Linked DNA regions of Saccharomyces cerevisiae S288C. The protein of the gene in region 2 binds, or shares a complex with, the protein of the main gene of each other region. Each region holds a gene or a part of one and is shown on either strand. Other genes may lie near its edges. The genes, in order: MSN5, PHO4 and PSE1. A codon is read from its position in the direction of its gene.

The links.
Region 1: the proteins of PHO4 (region 2) and MSN5 are in contact, whole or in part, in a cryo-EM structure (PDB 9D45), measured with the Saccharomyces cerevisiae proteins. Residues at the interface, in NP_116692.1 of Saccharomyces cerevisiae: Leu112 (codon at 2,243), Tyr113 (codon at 2,246), Ser114 (codon at 2,249), Pro115 (codon at 2,252), Leu116 (codon at 2,255), Ile117 (codon at 2,258), His118 (codon at 2,261), Thr119 (codon at 2,264), Gln120 (codon at 2,267), Ala122 (codon at 2,273), Val123 (codon at 2,276), Pro124 (codon at 2,279), Val125 (codon at 2,282), Thr126 (codon at 2,285), Ile127 (codon at 2,288), Ser128 (codon at 2,291), Leu131 (codon at 2,300), Val132 (codon at 2,303), Ala133 (codon at 2,306), Thr134 (codon at 2,309); in NP_010622.1 of Saccharomyces cerevisiae: Arg393 (codon at 3,014), Asp395 (codon at 3,020), Arg458 (codon at 3,209), Leu459 (codon at 3,212), Asn516 (codon at 3,383), Ile519 (codon at 3,392), Arg520 (codon at 3,395), Ile523 (codon at 3,404), Trp524 (codon at 3,407), Pro526 (codon at 3,413), Ala568 (codon at 3,539), Leu569 (codon at 3,542), Thr572 (codon at 3,551), Ile618 (codon at 3,689), Arg622 (codon at 3,701), Leu625 (codon at 3,710), Leu626 (codon at 3,713), His652 (codon at 3,791), Lys667 (codon at 3,836), Arg754 (codon at 4,097), Arg757 (codon at 4,106), Met758 (codon at 4,109), His761 (codon at 4,118), Tyr762 (codon at 4,121), Gln765 (codon at 4,130), His859 (codon at 4,412), Tyr863 (codon at 4,424), Glu866 (codon at 4,433), Tyr867 (codon at 4,436), Leu870 (codon at 4,445).
Region 3: the proteins of PHO4 (region 2) and PSE1 are in contact, whole or in part, in a crystal structure (PDB 3W3X), measured with the Saccharomyces cerevisiae proteins. Residues at the interface, in NP_116692.1 of Saccharomyces cerevisiae: Ala141 (codon at 2,330), Asn142 (codon at 2,333), Lys143 (codon at 2,336), Val144 (codon at 2,339), Thr145 (codon at 2,342), Lys146 (codon at 2,345), Asn147 (codon at 2,348), Lys148 (codon at 2,351), Ser149 (codon at 2,354), Asn150 (codon at 2,357); in NP_014039.1 of Saccharomyces cerevisiae: Glu287 (codon at 2,518), Asp336 (codon at 2,665), Asp338 (codon at 2,671), Asp346 (codon at 2,695), Gln350 (codon at 2,707), Asp353 (codon at 2,716), Arg354 (codon at 2,719), Leu357 (codon at 2,728), Ser392 (codon at 2,833), Ser393 (codon at 2,836), Glu396 (codon at 2,845), Asn430 (codon at 2,947), Gly433 (codon at 2,956), Gln434 (codon at 2,959), Asp438 (codon at 2,971), His470 (codon at 3,067), Ala473 (codon at 3,076), Ala474 (codon at 3,079), Val476 (codon at 3,085), Asn477 (codon at 3,088), Glu480 (codon at 3,097), Gln512 (codon at 3,193), Thr515 (codon at 3,202), Lys556 (codon at 3,325).

Annotation. Positions count from the first base shown.
Region 1 is NC_001136.10:1,139,331-1,145,342, forward strand, and holds MSN5 (karyopherin MSN5), read left to right. Parts: upstream 1-1,837; coding exon 1,838-5,512; downstream 5,513-6,012. Other genes in the region: chromatin-remodeling protein SWR1, read left to right, coding at 1-1,146; translation initiation/elongation factor MRX8, read left to right, coding at 5,762-6,012.
Region 2 is NC_001138.5:222,157-227,867, reverse strand, and holds PHO4 (phosphate-sensing transcription factor PHO4), read left to right. Parts: upstream 1-1,909; coding exon 1,910-2,848; downstream 2,849-5,711. Other genes in the region: RSC8 (Rsc8p), read left to right, coding at 1-355; anaphase promoting complex subunit CDC26, read right to left, coding at 531-905; YFR035W-A (uncharacterized protein), read right to left, coding at 1,318-1,608; YFR035C (uncharacterized protein), read left to right, coding at 1,403-1,747; QCR6 (ubiquinol--cytochrome-c reductase subunit 6), read left to right, coding at 3,099-3,542; MIN10 (Min10p), read left to right, coding at 3,895-4,158; 60S ribosomal protein eL29 RPL29, read left to right, coding at 4,431-4,610; RRT5 (Rrt5p), read left to right, coding at 4,909-5,711. UniProt on the Saccharomyces cerevisiae protein: Transcriptional activator that regulates the expression of repressible phosphatase under phosphate starvation conditions. Binds to the upstream activating sequence (UAS) of several phosphatase encoding PHO genes.
Region 3 is NC_001145.3:888,452-893,880, reverse strand, and holds PSE1 (importin PSE1), read left to right. Parts: upstream 1-1,659; coding exon 1,660-4,929; downstream 4,930-5,429. Other genes in the region: NIP1 (translation initiation factor eIF3 core subunit c), read left to right, coding at 1-893; 1,3-beta-glucanosyltransferase GAS1, read right to left, coding at 5,199-5,429. UniProt on the Saccharomyces cerevisiae protein: Functions in nuclear protein import as nuclear transport receptor. Serves as receptor for classical and arginine/glycine-rich nuclear localization signals (cNLS and rg-NLS) in cargo substrates.

The DNA.
Region 1 (6,012 bases), on a different chromosome or scaffold from region 2:
CCCATATTCGGAAAGAACCTTATTGACCTATTAACGAAAGATAGAAGGGTTAAATATGATAAATCAAGCATTATTGATAATGAACTAATAAAACCCTTGCAAACCAGGGTATTGGATAATAGAAAGATCATAGATACCTTTGCAGTGTTAACCCCAAGTGCCGTCTCACTAGATATGAGAAAGTTGGCATTGGGATTAAATGATGACAGTTCGGTAGGCGAAAACACAAGGCTAAAGGTAATGCAGAACTGTTTTGAAGTATCCAACCCATTACACCAACTGCAAACCAAATTAACAATCGCATTCCCGGACAAATCGCTGCTTCAATACGATTGTGGTAAATTGCAGAAGTTAGCAATTTTATTACAGCAGCTGAAGGACAATGGACATAGGGCACTTATCTTCACACAAATGACAAAAGTTTTGGACGTTCTGGAACAGTTTTTAAACTATCATGGTTATTTGTATATGAGACTAGATGGTGCCACAAAGATCGAAGACCGTCAAATCCTAACAGAGAGATTCAACACTGACTCAAGAATAACGGTATTTATCCTATCAAGTAGATCAGGAGGGCTAGGTATCAATCTGACTGGGGCAGATACAGTTATTTTTTACGATTCAGATTGGAATCCAGCCATGGACAAACAGTGTCAAGATAGATGTCACAGAATTGGACAGACTCGAGATGTGCATATTTACAGATTTGTCAGCGAACATACCATAGAAAGCAATATCTTAAAAAAAGCCAACCAAAAAAGACAATTGGATAATGTTGTTATTCAAGAGGGTGACTTCACAACAGATTATTTCAGCAAACTTTCGGTGAGAGATTTATTGGGATCCGAATTGCCCGAAAATGCTTCAGGTGGAGATAAACCACTAATAGCAGATGCAGATGTGGCAGCCAAAGATCCCAGACAACTGGAAAGACTTCTTGCGCAAGCGGAAGATGAGGATGATGTTAAAGCTGCAAACTTAGCCATGAGAGAAGTCGAAATTGACAATGACGATTTCGACGAAAGCACAGAAAAAAAAGCAGCTAATGAAGAGGAAGAAAATCATGCTGAACTTGATGAGTATGAGGGCACTGCCCATGTTGACGAGTACATGATCAGGTTTATTGCCAACGGTTATTATTATTGAAGGACCAGGTTCTACTCTTCACCGCTGCCTTAGTTGTCCAAATCGGACTATATACCTATTGTGAATATTTTAATGATATATAGCCATAATGAATCAACAAATTGTATTATTATTTCCGACAACACTATCGCCTCTTGGTTTTTATGGTAATGTACTCACCATGGCATTGTTCCTTGGTCACCAATTTCTATTTACCGGGTGATGGCGGCGCGCCACAGCGGAGGGGCATTGCCACATTGCTGCGCGATCAAGGTTGGTTTTTCCAAAGAGACTTCAAGAGTACTAAGCTTTTGATGTAGTAATATTTGTCAAAGAGTTTTAAGAGCAAGATTCCATTGAACAGAGGTGCTGGAGTGACGAGCGTGTGTGTTTTTAGCCTATCTTTATTCGTTGAGCCTGTAGAAGAGCCGTTCTTTTAAGTACACCCTGATTAGATCCCCCTATTTGTTGCAACCGTTCAAGTTTTGTAGATCGGAAGAAGAGCAAAACAGAAAAATAAACAAGGCGAGAACGTAAGGTGTCATTGCATTAGCCATTAAAAACCATATTCACTCTTTACATTCGTGTAGCAATTGTTACTGTGATAAACTATTGAAATTATTTATAGTATATTTTGTTTTCTTCCTTTTAATCACTTTTTGAATTTTTAGAATCTGAAATTTTTTTTCTAACGTTGATTGGAAGAAAAGTAATGGATTCCACAGGCGCTTCTCAGATTGTTAGCGCACTAGATGTTATTTACTCCCCCAAGTCTAACAATTCTCAACGGCAAGAAGCTCAGAAATTTTTAGATGAAGTGAAATTATGCTCAGAATCGCCCTTTTGGGGCTACGAAATTGCATTGCAAAACCCCACTAATTCTATATTGAAATACTTTGGACTAGGATTACTAGACCATGCAGTGAAGAAAAACTGGAATGATTATGACGAGGGGAAAAGAGTGGCCCTGAGAAAATGGGTCATGGAACTTAATTTTGGGGTGCAAGATTATGATACCAGATATATTAAGGAAAAATTAGCCACTTTATGGGTAGAGGTGGCAAAAAGAACATGGGGTGAGGCTCTTAAGCAGACAAACCCTACGGAAGAACAGTTACTCACATCTTGGGTGGACATGGACAATAACCTTTTCGAACTTTGGAACATAAATCAATCGTCAAGAGAACTAGCATTAATAATTTTCAGAATCCTTTTTGAAGATGTTTTCTTGTTGGACGACCTAATTGTTTTGAAAAGGATGACGGTTATTCAACCCTTATGTGTAATGATTGTTTGCCCTATTGAAGTTTTCGCAATAAAATACAAATTCAGTGATAAATGGACCAAATTTAAAGCTAATGAAGAGGGCTGGTTTTCTGTTTGGATTCCAGAGTTGAATAATGCATTACAACAGAATAATTCTGAATACATCATAAGGCTTTTAGAAACTCTGAAGACGTGTTTAAACTGGCCATTAACAGAGGTCATTGTAAGAAATGACGTGTTATCCTCCTTATTGACTTGTTTATCCAGCAATATCCCAAGGGCGCAGTCAATGGCATTAGACTCGATACATATTCTGTTGACCCGTCCCTATAGTAATGAAAGCCATTACCAAATGACCATAGATCGAGTTTTTGATAATATGGACTTATTAGATAGCGTTTATGAAAGCTTGTTGTTTGATCCTACAGATGATATAGATGAAACGAAATATCCTATAATTAAAAAGTTCGTGGATATGATCAGTTGTCTCTATGTTTGTGTCCCAAAGATTAAGGAGACAAATGGCCAAATTCAAAAATATTTTAAGCTTGTATTAAAGACAACTTATAACCCAAGCTTAATCGTTAGCGGATTAACATTAGACCTATGGTGTACCTGTCTTCGAAACGATGAATACTTACCCAAGCTGGAGAAATATGTCATTCCTGATCTACTACAGTTTGCCGCGGATGCTTTAGTCTATTATGAACAGATTGATGGTCATATTTCCAAAAAATTTGCGGAGATTGATTTTCAATCCAAGTCCGAATTTCAAACATTTTGTTCCACTTATAGGAAAAGAATAAGAGACATCATTAGGTTGATTTCTTGCGTCGAATTAGACCTTACTTATGATTGGTTGAACAACAGATTAAACAATTATTTCAGCTCTCCATTTGGTCAGCAGGTCTTAAGTTCCACATTTTTGGACCATAAATTAGAGCCTTATTTAGGTGCCCTCTCCCAATACATGATTGTTGAATGTTTCATCAATGGTTGTATAAGATGGAAGATCTGGTATCCAACAGGAGATGATTATGACGAAAAACTAGATTCCATATTACAAAAACTGGAAATTTTGTCAAACCAGTTAATTGCATTAAATTTAAGAGAACCATTGTTATTGAAGAAACAAATCCAAAATTTTGCACTTTTTTTGACAATGTTAAAAGATAATGTGCTTTTCACACTTTTAGAAAAAATCATAACAAGCGCCACGATGGACTATCCAGAAATTAATTTGGAAGAGAGAGGCGCTGAATCAGACGCAGTTAGAGATTTGAGATATGCTTGTGGTATCGAGTTGAATAGGATGGCTTTATTAATGCCCGAATCTCTGAAAAAAATATACCCAGACCTTGAAAGTGTCATTGCCAGAATCATGCCCAACTTATCTTACCATGAAAAAATTTCCTTCAAATCCTTCTTATTGATCATTGTATTGAAGTCTTCATTAGATATGAAAGAGGAAAGATTTGCGGCTATTGTGGATCCAGAACTTTTAGCCTGGTCTGATAAAACAACAGTTGTTGGTCTTTCTGATTTGCATTGGTTTATGGAACGCTTAGGTATTGTTCAGATCGCAGAATATTTCCAGAGGCGTGATATCGACGAAAATAGTGACCTTTTATCAATTCCAATTGATGATGAGGGTAAAGAGCTGAAGTCGGAATTGACCAAACGTTGGCAAAGCTTGTTTCCTGTTCGTGCAACAAGAATGTTCATTCATTATTCAATGCAAAGTATAAAGACAGATGAAGAATTCAAAATGCTACAAGATCTGTGGAGACCTAGGATTGTCCCAATATTACCTTACATCACGAGACTACTGTACCAATTGCAATCCTACCACGATCCAGATAATTGGAAAGGATTACCTACGGTTGTGCAATCCTTCGTCAAGTATTCCACTATTGAAAGATTTTGGGAGGCCGGAGCTTCAAATAAATCAAAGGATGAGTTTATTGATGAACATATGAAAGCGATGCAAACCTTACGAGACTTCGCCGACTCCGTAGGACACATCATTAGGTATACAAGGGAATACACTCTACTTGTTTTAAGTGCCATATCATCACTTGGTAGTGTTTTTTACCTTTTGGACGAATCGCCCGACCTACTACTGAACTCTATTGCCATATTTAAGCCAGGTAGCAATGAGATAAGCCCTGGAGTTTCAACACATGGATGGAAACACATAATGAATATAGCCATTCGTCCTATATTAAAAGGTTGTCCAAAAGATTGTCTGGGGAAATTCATGCCCGCATTTTTGCCTAAATTATTTGAAATCCTGGACCTGCTGCTATGTCAGAAATGGTCCTCGCATATGAATGATATGGACATGAACCCAGTTCCAACTGACGATGATCAAATGACTGAAGAAATTTTGGAAGAGAATTTGTTGAGACAACTAACCACAGTTGTTGTTAGAATAGTAATTGATTGTGTTGGTCAAGGCAATGCCAATCCAAACAGTGCTAAAAGCAGGCTAAATAACCATCAAATGGAGATGAGAAAAATTATATTTAATGATTTAAACACCCTTGCTCCATTTTTGAAACTTTTGAACCATTTAATTTCCTTCAAGGATACAAAATGTTCATTTAACTCCATCCTAGTAATGAAATGCTGCTTAACCTCAGTCCTTAATCAAAACAACACGGTGGATGAATATTTCACATTTGAAGTGATGAAAAATCTGTTGCTAAATGTGCTGTGTAATAGTGCGTTTAAGGATTCTTTCCATGAGGCACTATATGCTTTCACTGTGATTTTTTTGACTCTGTGCAAAGAATATCCCTCTGCTAGAGCGTTCCTTTTTGAGATATCTAATGGTTATAATATTGATGAGTTATACAGAAATTTAAGGAGCGTGGACGAATACAAAACACAAAGGGCACTCATGATTGATTTTATAGATTGGGTTAAATCCACCAGTGGGAAAGAAGATGGTAATGTGGACCATGCAGGCGATGAGAGAAAAAGACAAGAGAAAAGGGAAGCTATCCTCAAGAAGGCAAATGAGAGATTAATTAAGAAGAATAAAGAAAACGGAGACATGCTGGATGATCCGAACATTGAAGACGGTGCTGTGGGTAATCTCTTTGATGACAACTGATAATAAGGTGCCATATATACGTAGATGTGTAGATGAAATTAGAGAAAGCAAATAGACATCTGAATCGTGCTAAAAATTGTAATTATTGTGAAAAAAAAAATTCTGTATTCGCAATTTTTTTAATGAAAGTCGGCAGCCGGTAAATATGCATATAATCAAGCGTTTTAATGTGGGTCTGAACAAGGTATTTCTGAAGATTTTTTCTTCACATATTCCCTAATATTTTAGCGAAATAGGAAACCATTGGCAATGGAACAACTGTGTAAGAGGTACGTGCATACACCGGCGGCTTTTATACAAAACATTGTTGCTAACACTAAAAGAACAACGCTAGCCACGCAATTATCTGTTGAAAAAGCTAAAAAAAAAGTTCCCAAGACAGCTCTTAAAAAGAAACTTAATAGTAGGCCAAAAGAAAGGCTTCCGAATTGGCTAAAACTAAACGATGTTTTTAACATACATTACGAAAAGCCATCTAACTCTGATATAAATAAGGTTAA
Region 2 (5,711 bases):
AGAGAGCAAGTTTACAAAGCTGTGCGATCTAGAAACGCAACTGGAGATGGAAAAACTGAAATATGTGAAGGAATCTGAAAAGATGCTGAACGACCGATTATCACTGAGTAAACAGATTCTTGACCTGAACAAGTCGCTGGAGGAGTTGAATGTGTCGAAGAAACTGGTACTGATCTCGGAGCAAGTAGACTCGGGCATACAACTAGTGGAGAAGGACCAGGAGGGCGATGACGAAGACGGCAATACGGCCACAGGACATGGCGTGAAACGTGTAGGCAAGGAAGGCGAGGAAGTAGGCGAAGGCGACTCCATTGCAAAATTGCAGCCCCAGGTGTACAAACCGTGGTCATTGTAAAAAAATATATAAGAAAAAAAAAAAAAAAAAAAAAGAGAGCCTACAAAGTGTACTATTGTCATATTTTATATTTCTAATACAACGTATATAAAACTAGAGAGAAGAAATTTTATAAGTGAAAGTGAATGTGGATGCGTGCGCGTGTGCGTGTGCGTGTGCGTATGCGGATATGCTATTATTCCTCGCGGATGTAGAAGGGGTTGTGGTTGTCGTTTGCATTGGACGTCTCGTGGGCGGTATTGCTGTCGGTGGACAGATGCAAGGAATTGAGGACTCTGGTGTGCGCTACCGAGGCTGCTTTGTCGTTGTAAGATGACATGTCGTCATCTTCATCGATATCGTTATCGTTATCGTTATTGTTGTCTTCGATATTCTGCGATGTGTCCTGAAAGTCTGTATTGGAGTGCAGCGATCCGCCATTTTTTCCTTGGAAGTATTTTGTCTTCTCGATATTCAGCTGCTGCTTGAGTTTCTGCTCGTTCAGGTCATCGATCAGAGAGGTTACGTCGTCGTGACTGAGCTGCAAGGTGGTAGGGGCCCTTCTGATCATCAAGTGCGATGTTATTGTTGCTGTTTTTTTTTTCTCTTCAGACCGCTAATATCATATATACGTACATCCTAGATCCATCCATTATTCCTCTACTTTTGTGCAATGTGAAAGGACAAAGAGACAGGAAAAAGAAAAAATTATGGTGCGGCCTAAACATCGGATGTGGTGCATCTTTTAGTGCCGAGTAGCCAGAGATTAAAATGCCTTGTTGGCGCAATCGGTAGCGCGTATGACTCTTAATCATAAGGTTAGGGGTTCGAGCCCCCTACAGGGCTTATCTCTTTTTTTCTCTAACAAAAAAAAAATTCGTGTTTCTATTTTGCATATTTTCCTATATTTTCCTATATTTTTTTCTCGGCTCTTATACAGCAAAACTAGGTTCATATAAAAAAGATACGGTTATATGCATTATTTAGATCGGAAAAAGTCTCTGTCTAATGCGGTCACCTAGGGTTCGTCCTTTCAAGCGTATGTAAGACAACCATTCCTTCACACCCATGAGCGCGAGTGACAAAACAAAGCTCTGCAATAAGGGCATGAGCAGGACATCGCGAACCACAACTTTCGTAATCACACCCGCCTTCCGTGAGAGAGACGATGAGGGTGCCAATTCCCTGTGTAAAGCTTTCTTGAACACTTTCTCGAACCTCAAATCAGGTATGTTCAAATGTTTGTTGGGAGTTGGCGCCGTAGGTACGTTCATTTCTACGTTCCCACAGTTTTTCTTGCTGCCTTGCCTTCTTTGCGTACGGTGTGTATGTGTATGTCTGTGTGCAAGTATTTCCTATGCTGCAAGTGCGATTTTCTCGTTTTCTATTTTTTTTTTTTTTTGCCTCGCCTAATATGTGGTAGGCGAAAGGCTGACCCGGCCGCTCGCACGGAAATATTTGGCAAATGAGTCTTGACCATAGAAAAATGTATATAACCAGGGAAGAAGTCATGCTTCGGAAGGACCAGAAGAGAAGAGATGAGCAAAGGAGACAGAACAAGAGTAGCAGAAAGTCATGGGCCGTACAACTTCTGAGGGAATACACGGTTTTGTGGACGATCTAGAGCCCAAGAGCAGCATTCTTGATAAAGTCGGAGACTTTATCACCGTAAACACGAAACGGCATGATGGGCGCGAGGACTTCAACGAGCAAAACGACGAGCTGAACAGTCAAGAGAACCACAACAGCAGTGAGAATGGGAACGAGAATGAAAATGAACAAGACAGTCTCGCGTTGGACGACCTAGACCGCGCCTTTGAGCTGGTGGAAGGTATGGATATGGACTGGATGATGCCCTCGCATGCGCACCACTCCCCAGCTACAACTGCTACAATCAAGCCGCGGCTATTATATTCGCCGCTAATACACACGCAAAGTGCGGTTCCCGTAACCATTTCGCCGAACTTGGTCGCTACTGCTACTTCCACCACATCCGCTAACAAAGTCACTAAAAACAAGAGTAATAGTAGTCCGTATTTGAACAAGCGCAGAGGTAAACCCGGGCCGGATTCGGCCACTTCGCTGTTCGAATTGCCCGACAGCGTTATCCCAACTCCGAAACCGAAACCGAAACCAAAGCAATATCCGAAAGTTATTCTGCCGTCGAACAGCACAAGACGCGTATCACCGGTCACGGCCAAGACCAGCAGCAGCGCAGAAGGCGTGGTCGTAGCAAGTGAGTCTCCTGTAATCGCGCCGCACGGATCGAGCCATTCGCGGTCGCTGAGTAAGCGACGGTCATCGGGCGCGCTCGTGGACGATGACAAGCGCGAATCACACAAGCATGCAGAGCAAGCACGGCGTAATCGATTAGCGGTCGCGCTGCACGAACTGGCGTCTTTAATCCCCGCGGAGTGGAAACAGCAAAATGTGTCGGCCGCGCCGTCCAAAGCGACCACCGTGGAGGCGGCCTGCCGGTACATCCGTCACCTACAGCAGAACGTGAGCACGTGACCGTGCACCAATGGGAAGCACGTTCCGGGCATATCGGACTGGGGCGCGCCTCCCCTGCGCGGTGCTTGTTATAAGAGGCGCTTTGCTGGAAAGTGGCCCACACCGGGTTTTCGAGATTAGGACCTACTCAGTCTTAAGGGCAGTATTGGTTGGCGCTTATTTGCACATATTGTATACACGCACTCACATTAACAGAAGCACACATATACACTTACACCTACACACACGGATAAAGAAAAAGAAATAGAAAATGGGCATGTTGGAACTAGTTGGTGAGTACTGGGAACAACTAAAGATAACCGTTGTGCCTGTTGTGGCCGCGGCCGAAGATGACGATAACGAGCAGCATGAAGAAAAGGCAGCAGAAGGAGAAGAAAAAGAAGAAGAAAATGGGGATGAAGATGAGGATGAAGACGAAGACGAAGATGATGATGATGATGACGACGAAGATGAGGAAGAAGAGGAAGAAGTCACTGATCAGTTGGAAGATTTGAGAGAACATTTCAAGAACACGGAGGAGGGTAAGGCCCTTGTGCACCACTACGAGGAGTGTGCTGAGAGAGTCAAGATACAGCAACAACAACCCGGCTACGCGGATCTTGAACACAAGGAGGACTGTGTGGAGGAGTTTTTCCATCTACAGCACTATTTGGACACTGCCACGGCACCTAGATTATTTGACAAATTAAAGTAGTCTGTTTATCCGTCATATTCCCTATATTCATATTTATTCTGAGTCTTGTTACAATTTCTTCAAGAAACCGATCCTTATTTAACCTACTGTATTTAGAAAGTAAATAAATAAACTAAAATCAAAGCAAAAATAATTTTATACACTATTCTTATTTTTATTTTTTAATTTTTAATTTTTTTTATAAGGGAGCACAAGTATACAGACGGAAAAGGGATTAGGCTTTTTTTATGCGCTCTGTCTAGTACTGTTTTCTTTTACATCCGTACATACTCTTAGACCCATACAGCGCATGTATTCTTGTTTTCGACTTTTTTTTGGTTTTTTTTTTTTAGTTCTGTAAGGACAAAGAAAAATGGTCGCTAGCCGCGCTCGGGAAAACCAGCGATATTCTCAATGTAGGAAGTCTACCATTTTCCCTTTAGGCTTTGCCATAATCTCTGGATACATACAATTTCAGAATATTTCAATACTGCATATTTCAAGATTCAACCCATTATTTTATAACATTTTTCATTCAATATTCAAGAACCCCGGAACAACAATACAGTTAGAAAGTACGTTATATTATCATGAAGTCCCCATTTCGCCCATTGGAAATGCAGGTAGCCAAATCTGAGGTGCGCTGAGTGGCATATAGTGGAGGATATAAAGAAAAAAAGAGAGAAGGGAAAATAATGGAAAGTTACCAGTGTTTGAACTTATAGCGAACGCTCTTTCTCGAACGTTCAATTACCTTTAGCATACCCTTGTTCGAAGTTGCCCCCGCTAGCACCACTTCAGATTGGCAGTTAGCTGCCACGCTACTCCCCTCCACCGTTATGAATCATTTTTACTAACCTTTAATGACCATTCGCAATTTCTGCGTACATTCATCGTCTTCTCCAGAAAATGGCTAAGTCTAAGAACCATACCGCTCACAACCAAACCAGAAAGGCTCACAGAAACGGTATCAAGAAGCCAAAGACCTACAAGTACCCTTCTTTGAAAGGTGTTGATCCAAAGTTTAGAAGAAACCACAAGCATGCCCTACACGGCACTGCTAAGGCTTTGGCTGCTGCCAAGAAATAAACTTTTTAAGATTATAATACGTTAAAAATTTACATATTATTTTGTCTGATTTTATATAACATGTTTTATTATCTTAATTGAAGGAAAATTTATCTCAATATCCAGTACCGTTTTCTTTTTTTATTTCTTTTTTTTTTTCTTTTAATTTTCTTTTTCCTCCTTATGTGCCACAAAATGGAAGCGTCACAAATTAATAACAAAAGATAAATGATGTATAAAACAATGGTGTTGACCTTCTACTGAGTAGCAACACATAGAGAAGTATAAGGCCTCACATAAGCATACAAACAAGCCCGCAATGACAGAACAAGTTAACAATGACACTACCAGTGACACTACCACTACCATTACCACAGTTTACATTTCGAACCTGCCATTCACGGCGAGTGAGCGAGACCTACATGCCTTCCTAAACAACTATGGCGCCAGTTCAGTGTTGATTCCAACGCAGACCGTCCGCAGATTCAGCAAAAGGCACAATAGCAACCCTCGCAAACCACTAGGCATAGCATTTGCCCAGTTCGCAAACAATACTCTGGCTTTGAAGGCCATTCAAGACTTGAACGGAACCGTTTTCCAAAATCAGAAACTATTTCTAAAGTTACACGTTCCTTACGAGGCAGACTCTACTCCAGACACGGATGTAAAGAAGCCCAAAGAAAAAAATAAGGTTAAGAAGACACCAGAGACTGCCGCGGATACGGTTTACTGTCACGACCTGCCAGACGATATAACCGACAGTGAGATCCGTGAGTTGTTCCAGCTCTACTCGCCTCAAGAAATCTGGATTTACAGGTCCAAGGTGTACAGGAGAAAGTGTATTCCTTTTGCTCCACACCAAATTACTGCCGCTTTGGTCACTTTGCAATCTGAAACCCCAATTGGGGACATTTGTGACAGTGTGGCCAAGACAGCTACTTTGAGGGGCAAATCGATAATAGTGAAGCCCGCTTACGTCTCTAAGATTCAAGAAATTAAACAATTGGTCAAGGACAACTTAACCAATGCGCGCGACCCACCTCCAGCAGCATTGGCAGAGCCAGCGCCAGCGCCAGCGCCAGTAGAGCCAGCGGAGCAAGTGCAGGAAGGGCAAGACAATGC
Region 3 (5,429 bases), on a different chromosome or scaffold from region 2:
TCCAAACTGCTAAAGATATGTTACTAACTTCCCAAGTTCAAACAAATATCAACCAATTCGATTCATCCCTACAAATTTTATTCAACAGGGTTGTTGTTCAATTGGGTCTATCCGCCTTTAAATTATGTTTGATTGAAGAATGTCATCAAATTTTGAATGATCTTCTGTCAAGTTCTCACTTAAGAGAAATTTTGGGCCAACAATCCCTACACAGAATATCTCTCAATTCTAGTAACAATGCTTCAGCTGATGAGCGTGCTAGACAATGTTTGCCATATCACCAACACATCAATCTCGATTTAATCGATGTCGTCTTCTTAACATGTTCCTTATTGATCGAAATTCCAAGAATGACTGCCTTCTATTCCGGTATTAAGGTCAAGAGAATTCCTTACTCTCCAAAATCCATTCGTCGTTCCTTAGAACATTACGACAAGTTAAGTTTCCAAGGTCCACCAGAAACTTTAAGAGATTATGTCTTGTTTGCTGCCAAATCAATGCAAAAAGGTAACTGGAGAGACTCTGTTAAATACTTAAGAGAAATAAAATCTTGGGCTTTATTACCAAACATGGAAACGGTGTTGAATAGTTTAACGGAAAGAGTACAAGTTGAATCTTTGAAGACTTATTTCTTTTCTTTCAAGAGGTTCTATTCAAGTTTTTCTGTTGCTAAACTAGCCGAATTATTTGATCTTCCAGAAAATAAGGTGGTTGAAGTTTTGCAATCTGTTATCGCAGAATTGGAAATCCCAGCCAAATTAAACGACGAGAAGACCATCTTTGTTGTCGAAAAGGGTGATGAAATTACTAAATTGGAAGAAGCAATGGTAAAATTGAACAAAGAATATAAAATCGCTAAAGAACGTCTTAACCCACCATCAAATCGTCGTTGATCAATAAAATCAAAAACTACTTCGAAAGCATTCTTAACAAAAAATCATTGTAGATAGAAGAATAACATCAGCAACCAAAAAATATAGAAGGAAACTAAGCAGGAGAGTATAAACCATATTCACTTTTGCTTTTTATTCTTGATATTGCTCATCTTTTTTTTTTTCGATTCTTTTAGCGATCTCTTTATTTTTAGTTTTAGGGTTTGAATCTAATCGTCTTCACTGTACATTACACATAAGCAAATATATATATAGTTTTTTTTGTTACGTAAACACTCTTTATAATATAATACAAACTATTAAACTTTAAGAAAAGTATGATATGCCGCTTTATTTCTTCATCAAATATAATCTCAAAATATATGGATCATGAGTGTTGATAAATAATCCAATAGCCTATCATGGACTATCTGTTTGACATTCTAAAAAAAAAAATAAATTGTACGAACTGCAGTAAATCGGTATTATCATCATGACGCACGATATCAATTCTTTGCAGAAACTGAAAAATTTTTCATTTTCTACCCAGGAAAAAAAGAAAAATGAAATTCACTAAAAAAATGGGAATACTAATACCAGACGGTCCAATAATCACTATAGTATTATAGACAGCTATAACAGTGATCGAAGTTCGGCGCTCTTCAGATACCGAGTGGCTAATAGACTGAGTAGATCAAAGTGGCAGATAGCCCAAACAAAAGTAATTAGCTTGCAAGCCACTTTATCCTAACGACACGTGATTTCAACCGTAACTAGAGCCATCGCTATGTCTGCTTTACCGGAAGAAGTTAATAGAACATTACTTCAGATTGTCCAGGCGTTTGCTTCCCCTGACAATCAAATACGTTCTGTAGCTGAGAAGGCTCTTAGTGAAGAATGGATTACCGAAAACAATATTGAGTATCTTTTAACTTTTTTGGCTGAACAAGCCGCTTTCTCCCAAGATACAACAGTTGCAGCATTATCTGCTGTTCTGTTTAGAAAATTAGCATTAAAAGCTCCCCCTTCTTCGAAGCTTATGATTATGTCCAAAAATATCACACATATTAGGAAAGAAGTTCTTGCACAAATTCGTTCTTCATTGTTAAAAGGGTTTTTGTCGGAAAGAGCTGATTCAATTAGGCACAAACTATCTGATGCTATTGCTGAGTGTGTTCAAGACGACTTACCAGCATGGCCAGAATTACTACAAGCTTTAATAGAGTCTTTAAAAAGCGGTAACCCAAATTTTAGAGAATCCAGTTTTAGAATTTTGACGACTGTACCTTATTTAATTACCGCTGTTGACATCAACAGTATCTTACCAATTTTTCAATCAGGCTTTACTGATGCAAGTGATAATGTCAAAATTGCTGCAGTTACGGCTTTCGTGGGTTATTTTAAGCAACTACCAAAATCTGAGTGGTCCAAGTTAGGTATTTTATTACCAAGTCTTTTGAATAGTTTACCAAGATTTTTAGATGATGGTAAGGACGATGCCCTTGCATCAGTTTTTGAATCGTTAATTGAGTTGGTGGAATTGGCACCAAAACTATTCAAGGATATGTTTGACCAAATAATACAATTCACTGATATGGTTATAAAAAATAAGGATTTAGAACCTCCAGCAAGAACCACAGCACTCGAACTGCTAACCGTTTTCAGCGAGAACGCTCCCCAAATGTGTAAATCGAACCAGAATTACGGGCAAACTTTAGTGATGGTTACTTTAATCATGATGACGGAGGTATCCATAGATGATGATGATGCAGCAGAATGGATAGAATCTGACGATACCGATGATGAAGAGGAAGTTACATATGACCACGCTCGTCAAGCTCTTGATCGTGTTGCTTTAAAGCTGGGTGGTGAATATTTGGCTGCACCATTGTTCCAATATTTACAGCAAATGATCACATCAACCGAATGGAGAGAAAGATTCGCGGCCATGATGGCACTTTCCTCTGCAGCTGAGGGTTGTGCTGATGTTCTGATCGGCGAGATCCCAAAAATCCTGGATATGGTAATTCCCCTCATCAACGATCCTCATCCAAGAGTACAGTATGGATGTTGTAATGTTTTGGGTCAAATATCTACTGATTTTTCACCATTCATTCAAAGAACTGCACACGATAGAATTTTGCCGGCTTTAATATCTAAACTAACGTCAGAATGCACCTCAAGAGTTCAAACGCACGCCGCAGCGGCTCTGGTTAACTTTTCTGAATTCGCTTCGAAGGATATTCTTGAGCCTTACTTGGATAGTCTATTGACAAATTTATTAGTTTTATTACAAAGCAACAAACTTTACGTACAGGAACAGGCCCTAACAACCATTGCATTTATTGCTGAAGCTGCAAAGAATAAATTTATCAAGTATTACGATACTCTAATGCCATTATTATTAAATGTTTTGAAGGTTAACAATAAAGATAATAGTGTTTTGAAAGGTAAATGTATGGAATGTGCAACTCTGATTGGTTTTGCCGTTGGTAAGGAAAAATTTCATGAGCACTCTCAAGAGCTGATTTCTATATTGGTCGCTTTACAAAACTCAGATATCGATGAAGATGATGCGCTCAGATCATACTTAGAACAAAGTTGGAGCAGGATTTGCCGAATTCTGGGTGATGATTTTGTTCCGTTGTTACCGATTGTTATACCACCCCTGCTAATTACTGCCAAAGCAACGCAAGACGTCGGTTTAATTGAAGAAGAAGAAGCAGCAAATTTCCAACAATATCCAGATTGGGATGTTGTTCAAGTTCAGGGAAAACACATTGCTATTCACACATCCGTCCTTGACGATAAAGTATCAGCAATGGAGCTATTACAAAGCTATGCGACACTTTTAAGAGGCCAATTTGCTGTATATGTTAAAGAAGTAATGGAAGAAATAGCTCTACCATCGCTTGACTTTTACCTACATGACGGTGTTCGTGCTGCAGGAGCAACTTTAATTCCTATTCTATTATCTTGTTTACTTGCAGCCACCGGTACTCAAAACGAGGAATTGGTATTGTTGTGGCATAAAGCTTCGTCTAAACTAATCGGAGGCTTAATGTCAGAACCAATGCCAGAAATCACGCAAGTTTATCACAACTCGTTAGTGAATGGTATTAAAGTCATGGGTGACAATTGCTTAAGCGAAGACCAATTAGCGGCATTTACTAAGGGTGTCTCCGCCAACTTAACTGACACTTACGAAAGGATGCAGGATCGCCATGGTGATGGTGATGAATATAATGAAAATATTGATGAAGAGGAAGACTTTACTGACGAAGATCTTCTCGATGAAATCAACAAGTCTATCGCGGCCGTTTTGAAAACCACAAATGGTCATTATCTAAAGAATTTGGAGAATATATGGCCTATGATAAACACATTCCTTTTAGATAATGAACCAATTTTAGTCATTTTTGCATTAGTAGTGATTGGTGACTTGATTCAATATGGTGGCGAACAAACTGCTAGCATGAAGAACGCATTTATTCCAAAGGTTACCGAGTGCTTGATTTCTCCTGACGCTCGTATTCGCCAAGCTGCTTCTTATATAATCGGTGTTTGTGCCCAATACGCTCCATCTACATATGCTGACGTTTGCATACCGACTTTAGATACACTTGTTCAGATTGTCGATTTTCCAGGCTCCAAACTGGAAGAAAATCGTTCTTCAACAGAGAATGCCAGTGCAGCCATCGCCAAAATTCTTTATGCATACAATTCCAACATTCCTAACGTAGACACGTACACGGCTAATTGGTTCAAAACGTTACCAACAATAACTGACAAAGAAGCTGCCTCATTCAACTATCAATTTTTGAGTCAATTGATTGAAAATAATTCGCCAATTGTGTGTGCTCAATCTAATATCTCCGCTGTAGTTGATTCAGTCATACAAGCCTTGAATGAGAGAAGTTTGACCGAAAGGGAAGGCCAAACGGTGATAAGTTCAGTTAAAAAGTTGTTGGGATTTTTGCCTTCTAGTGATGCTATGGCAATTTTCAATAGATATCCAGCTGATATTATGGAGAAAGTACATAAATGGTTTGCATAAAGACGTTTAATAGAAAGAAGAACAATGTTAAGTAGTTCTATAAGGAATATTAAATGAATATTGTCTTTTTTGATGATTTAAAAACATATAATGTAACAATAGTGTTCTTTTTAATTTACCGGTGGTAATAGCGAATAGAATCTTATAAAACTTACATAGAAAAAAAATATATACTATACTTACAACTTTTCATTTTTTTCGTAAAAACTACCCCACAATGAAATAAGATACCATACCTTATCGAGTTATTATGTATGTGTCGAAGCTTTTTAAACCAAAGCAAAACCGACACCAGCGGCAATGGATAAGGAAATGATGGAGGTAAAGACCACTTGTGCTAAGTTAGCTTTAACGTTGGTGGCAGCATTCTTCTTGCTAGAAGATGAAGATGAAGCTGAAGAAGAAGAAGAAGAACTGGAAGAACCAGAAGAGCCGGAGTTAGACTTGGAAGAAGACCCCGAAGCGTTAGAAGAGGCAGTACTGGATTCAGTTCCGGAACC